Linked DNA regions of Xenopus tropicalis. Each later gene encodes a partner of the first gene's protein in a complex. Links are inferred from orthologs where the notes say so. Each region holds a gene or a part of one and is shown in the gene's direction. Other genes may lie near its edges.

The links. The genes of interacting proteins can lie anywhere in the genome.
Region 2: cc2d2a (region 1) and tmem231 share a complex: the UniProt entries of both Homo sapiens proteins name them as parts of the tectonic-like complex. The link is inferred for Xenopus tropicalis from reciprocal best matches to the Homo sapiens genes CC2D2A and TMEM231.

Annotation. Positions count from the first base shown.
Region 1 is NC_030677.2:27,856,448-27,860,206, forward strand, and holds the start of cc2d2a (coiled-coil and C2 domain-containing protein 2A), read left to right. Parts: upstream 1-1,435; 5' UTR 1,436-1,632; coding exon 1,633-1,671; intron 1,672-3,759. UniProt on the Homo sapiens protein: Component of the tectonic-like complex, a complex localized at the transition zone of primary cilia and acting as a barrier that prevents diffusion of transmembrane proteins between the cilia and plasma membranes.
Region 2 is NC_030680.2:64,236,863-64,239,757, reverse strand, and holds part of tmem231 (transmembrane protein 231), read left to right. Parts: intron 1-105; coding exon 106-234; intron 235-1,730; coding exon of another isoform or gene 1,731-1,733; coding exon 1,734-1,874; intron 1,875-2,431; coding exon 2,432-2,513; intron 2,514-2,895. UniProt on the Homo sapiens protein: Transmembrane component of the tectonic-like complex, a complex localized at the transition zone of primary cilia and acting as a barrier that prevents diffusion of transmembrane proteins between the cilia and plasma membranes.

The DNA of each region.
Region 1 (3,759 bases):
GGCACCATCTCTCCCTACTATACCTGTTATTCCACAGCCACAGTCCCTTCCCAGAGGCTATTATCCTCCCACTGCTACTATAGGCACCATCTCTCCCTACTATACCTGCTATTCCAGTCTCAATCCCTTCCCAGAGGCTATTATCCCCCCACTGCTACTATAGGCACCATCTCTCCCTACTATACCTGCTATCCCACAGCCCCAGTCCCTTCCCAGAGGCTATTATCCCCCCACTGCTACTATAGGCACCATCTCTCCCTACTATACCTGCTATCCCACAGCCCCAGTCCCTTCCCAGAGGCTATTATCCCCCCACTGCTACTATAGGCACCATCTCTCCCTACTATACCTGCTATCCCACAGCCACAGTCCCTTCCCAGAGGCTATTATCCCCCCACTGCTACTATAGGCACCATCTCTCCCTACTATACCTGCTATCCCACAGCCACAGTCCCTTCCCAGAGGCTATTATCCCCCCACTGCTACTATAGGCACCATCTCTCCCTACTATACCTGCTATCCCACAGCCACAGTCCCTTCCCAGAGGCTATTATCCCCCCACTGCTACTATAGGCACCATCTCTCCCTACTATACCTGCTATCCCACAGCCACAGTCCCTTCCCAGAGGCTATTATCCCACTGCTACTATAGGCACCATCTCTCCCTACAATACTTATAAATAAAGACGTGAATTTCAATGTTTTGCTTTCCCCCCATTATAATGAAGTGAAATGATATTTTCTGTGGCAGTTTAACAGGTTGTAGCAGTTTCCATGCCCCACTGTGATACCTTCACTAAAAGGAAATCTCGCATCATTAAAGAGCAGGCACCTGTGCTGTAAAAAAAAACCAATAATGTATAATGAGCAATTTATTGATTTAATGTGTTAATTAAAAGTCAGCGCATTGGTTGTCGGATTTTGTCCCTTCCCTTATAAAAGAAAGCTGTGTAAGGGGGAAAAGATGCAAGCACCTGAGCTCCCCACTCCTTTGCCAAGTCTCCAGCTCTCCGATGTCCCCCTTGATGGCGGCCCTGCACAGCGACACAGTCCTCACGGCGCTACCAAATAGCCAATCACAGTCATTATTTGGCCTCCCCAAAGAACTTCTTTTAATGTTTCTGTGGCTCACAGGTAAAACAAAAAGTTGGGGATCCCTGGTCTAACCCCTTTGGTTATGACTGAATACAGTAAGGGCGATCCATACCCAATAAGAACATGCTTGGTTATAATGAAATAAACCTCATTTGTGTGCACGTTTTATCTCGATCACTGGTTATATTATAAACAAATCTTTGGTTTATCTGCACAGAAGTCTCTACCACTAAACATTTCAGCACATACTAATGCCAGCCTTAGCAGCTGGAACTGAGTCTGTAGGTACAGAGACTCCATGGCAACGTTACAGCAAACACCCAGCAGTAGTACGCCCCTCCCACCGAACTATCCCAGTGCGCGGTGCATGCTGGGAGTGCGATCCCCCGGCCAATGGCGGCGCTCACCGACGCTTAAGTCGTTCTCTTTCTGAACCTGTACATTTCTGTATTGAATGAACTATAGACTTAACCGCAGCTACCGAAGAGGGGACAATTGTTCGGGTTCCAAGCTTGGAGCTGTCGCCACTAAGCTGCGATGAGACACTCTGAGGAGAAGCAGAGGATGGTGACACAGGTCTGTGCTGCTGATACACTAACTCAGTGTTGCCGTGTGTGTATGTTGTGCAGTTTGTGCTACAGTTACATTGAATAAGCGAATGGAATTTGTTGCTTACGCTACTGCTATGTCTATGGAGTTCCTGTGGTTGCTATAGGCGCCTCTGTGCGGTTGCTAAGGCCAAAGCGGAAGTTGCTGCGTTGCATTGCTTCACTTTCACTTTAGCGCTCCATGTTGTTTAACTAAAACTCTCAGCCCTCCCAAAGGTGCAACTGGGGGTTGTAGTACAGGTATAGGACCTGTTATCCAGAATGCTCGGGACCAAGGGTATTCCGGATAAGGGGTCTTCCTGTAATTTGGATCTCCATACCTTAAGTCTGCTAAAAAATCAATAAAACATTAATTTTAACACCCAATAGGTCTGTTTTGCATCCAATAAGCATTAATTATATCTTTGTTAGGATCAAGTACAGGTACTGTTTTATTATTACAGAGAAAAGGGAATCATTTAACCATTAAATAAACCCAATAGGGCTGTTCTGCCCCCAATAAGGGGTAATTATATCTTAGTTGGGATCAAGTACAGGTACTGTTTTATTATTATAGAGAAAAGGGAATCATTTAACCATGAAATAAACCCAATAGGGCTGTTCTGCCCCCAATAAGGGGTAATTATATCTTAGTTGGGATCAAGTACAGGTACTGTTTTATTATTACAGAGAAAAGGGAATCATTTAACCATTAAATAAACCCAATAGGGCTGTTCTGCCCCAATAAGGGGTAATTATATCTTAGTTGGGATCAAGTACAGGTACTGTTTTATTATTACAGAGAAAAGGGAATCATTTAACCATTAAATAAACCCAATAGGGCTGTTCTGCCCCAATAAGGGGTAATTATATCTTAGTTGGGATCAAGTACAGGTACTGTTTTATTATTACAGAGAAAAGGGAATCATTTAACCATTAAATAAACCCAATAGGGCTGTTCTGCCCCCAATAAGGGGTAATTATATCTTAGTTGGGATCAAGTACAGGTACTGTTTTATTATTACAGAGAAAAGGGAATCATTTAACCATGAAATAAACCCAATAGGGCTGTTCTGCCCCCAATAAGGGGTAATTATATCTTAGTTGGGATCAAGTACAGGTACTGTTTTATTATTACAGAGAAAAGGGAATCATTTAACCATGAAATAAACCCAATAGGGCTGTTCTGCCCCCAATAAGGGGTAATTATATCTTAGTTGGGATTAAGTACAGGTACTGTTTTATTATTACAGAGAAAAGGGAATCATTTAACCATTTAATAAACCCAATAGGGCTGTTCTGCCCCCAATAAGGGGTAATTATATCTTAGTTGGGATCAAGTACAGGTACTGTTTTATTATTACAGAGAAAAAGGAAATCATTTAACCACTAAATAAACCCAATAGGACTGTTCTGCCCCCAATAAGGGGTAATTATATCTTAATTGGGATCAAGTACAGGTACTGTTTTATTATTACAGAGAAAAGGGAATCATTTAACCACTAAATAAACCCAATAGGGCTGTTCTGCCCCCAATAAGGGGTAATTATATCTTAGTTGGGATCAAGTACAGGTACTGTTTTATTATTAGGGCTCTGGTACACGGGGAGATTAGTCGCCCGCGGCAAAACTCCCTGCTCGCGGGCGACTAATCTCCCCGAGTTGCCTTCCCTCTGCCATCCCACTGGCGAACATGTAAGTCGCCGGCGGGATGGCAGACGCGGCGGGGCGATTTGCGCGAAATCGCGCTGCCGCGTCTGCCATCCCGCCGGCGACTTACATGTTCGCCGGTGGGATGGCAGAGGGAAGGCAACTCGGGGAGATTAGTCGCCCGCGAGCAGGGAGTTTTGCCGCGGGCGACTAATCTCCCCGTGTACCAGAGCCCTTACAGAGAAAAGGGAATCATTTAACCACTAAATAAACCCAATAGGACTGTTCTGCCCCCAATAAGGTGTAATTATATCTTAGTTGGGATCAAGTACAGGTACTGTTTTATTATTACAGAGAAAAGGGAATCATTTAACCATTAAATAAACCCAATAGGGCTGTTCTGCCCCCAATAAGGGGTAATTATATC
Region 2 (2,895 bases), on another chromosome or scaffold:
TAGGATTTGTTGTTCTGTAATTTTAGTTAAGCAGGAGAATTATTTAGAGGTTTCAGTAGCTTAGCAAGGCATTGTTATTGCTTACATTATGGTGTTTATTTACAGGCAAGAGAGGAAGACAGAAATCAAGATGGTAAAATGGATTTATTGAACTTCCAGCTGGAGCTTCCTCTGCAACCCACTGATAATATTTATGGTGTGCAGCTCATTCTGACATTCTCCTACCAGCTCAGTGTGAGTACAGAAGAGTATATGCACAGTGGTGCTTGAAAGTTTGTGAACCCTTTAACATTTGCTATATTTTTATATGAATGTAACCTAAAACATCATCTGATTTTCAAGCAGATGAAGAAAACCTAGTTAAACAAATGAAACAAAAATTATTATAGTTGGGCATGTCATGTATTATCCAATAATATCTGTATGTGGCAAAAGTAAGTGAATCCTTAGGAGTATCATATAATTTGAAGGTGAAGCAGAGTCTGGTGTTTTCAGTCAATGGGATGACAATCAGGTGTGAGTGACAGACCCTGTTTTTAAAAAACGGGGATCCAGCAAAGCCTGATCACACTTACAACACATTTGTGGTGGTTGTACCCAGAAATGATTGACTATCAAAGATATTTTCAACTGCAAGGTGTTTAATAGCCCGAGAGGTTACAAAGGAACCCAGAGTAACTTCTAAGGAACTAAAGGCCTGTCTCACATTGGCGAATGTTGATGTTCATGAGTCCACCATCAGGAGAACACTGAACAGCAATGGTGTGTATGGCAGGTAGCAAGGGAAAGCCACTGCTCTCCCCCAAAAATATTGCTGACCCTCTACAGTTAAAAATCATGTGGACAAACTAGGAGGATACTGGAAGAATGTTTTGTGGACAGATGAAGGCAAAGTAATACTTTTAGGCTGAAATATATGTTGATATCTGGACAAATAGTGGATTCGTATATGCTCTTTAACAAGAAAGATTACAGTGGTCCGAAATTAAAATTTCACCTATCAGACATAGTTACATAAAGGGGAAGGAAAGGCTAAGTCACTTGGGGGGGATAAAATGTTAAGCACCCCCAAGTGACTTGAATCGCTTACCTCGTACCCCGGGCTGGTGCCCCTATTAGGAGAAAACCGCACCAGCCCAGGGCACCTGGGGCGATGCACTTCCTCCTTCCACCTTCGTTTCGCTGCGACTCCGAGTCCGGCGCATGCGCAGTAGAGTGAAAAAGCCGGCGTCTCTGTTAAAGTTCGGCTTTTCACTCTACTGCGCACGCACGCGCGCGCAGCGAAGGAGGAAGCGATCGCTGCTACCCCGGGCTGGTGCTGTTCTCTCCATACAGGGGCACCAGCCCGGGGTAGAAGGTAAGCGATTCAAGTCACTTGGGGTGCCTAACATTTTGGCACCCCCAAGTGACTTTTCCTTCTCCTTTAAGTCAGCACACACTGGGTTCTGGAAATGGGGTGGGATGAGATTATGTTACTATACTCTAATGTTCATGTACTGTTCATTTCTGCAGTGATGTAACAGTAGGGAAGAAAAACCCATAGCTGCAGGACAAAAGGGGCTAACTAATGATCAATAATCACCTTGAGCTCCCATTGTCAGGTGTATATGGATAGAATAGTGGTAGAAATCAGGAGTTTTGCACATGGTGAAGGGGTAACCAAAATATTGTTATCTGGTCATGGGTCCCAGGTCCGCTGCAGTATTTCAGAAATTGTGTTTCTTTTTCAGAAGATGTCAACATTTATCATGCAGAGCATGGCCTTAATCCAGTACTCCTCTCCAATTCCTGGATCTCAGCTTTATATGAATGGGGATTTGAAACTACAACAAAGGCAGCCTCTGAATCACAGGGGTTTGGACACAACATACAACGTAAGCTTTGTGTTTCCCTAACATTTGTTATATGCATATTGTCTTGTAACAATATAGGGCTCATATACTGTAGATCAGATACAAGTGCTACTTTAATAAAGGGTCCAAAATTGCACCCCTTGGAAAGCCATTTAGTTAGCACTTGAACCAGTTCCGTACACAGTGCAGAGTATACCCTTAAGCTGTCAGTACAGGGCTGCTGATGCATATTGCATATATGATGCATATAAACAGACATGCCTTTTTACACCTCACAAAAGACACAAAAGTTAGGGGTGCTCTTATGGACAGCAATGGGCTGCATATGTGCCATTCTTTGCAATACTCTGTCAGGTGCAGGGGTGCAAAAATGTGGACGTGACAGAACTAGGTAAAGAAAGCAGCAGCAAGGTGAATTGTGGGCAAATAAAACTGTGCACTCTGTAATTAGTAAATGAGTCCTCGTAACTTATAGCAGCGAACAAACAAATAAATTGGTCATCTTCTGTATAACAACATAGGTAGAAATATTAAATTCATAGCACTAACATAAACTGATGTTTCCAATTATATGGCAGGTGTCTGTGATAAACCGAAGCAGCCCTTTTGCAAGTACCTATGCACTCACAAACATAATATCGTCTTACCAGGAAAGAAACGGTAATGTGGAAAAAGTTGAGCAAGACAAACAGTAATTCTTGTCTTTATAATATGGATGGACTGCGATCAACCACTTAAGGAGTTTGTATGTTCTTGATAAGATGGCCATAGTGTTTGTTTATGTGATAGGGACATTAGAATGTAGTATCGCCAGCTGAAGTTTGCCTGTGTATGGCCAGTTTAACAGGAGTGTCTGTGCTGCACACAAAAGACACTCCTTGTCATATTATACATGGAGCTGGTACAGGTATGGGATCTGTTAGCTGGTAACCGTTTACCCAAAAGGCTCAGAAATATTTTGACTTTTTGTAACGTATTTACTTTTTCTCTCTAAAATTATGACAGTTGCTAGTAATTGATGTTAAATAAGCTAGCATAAATG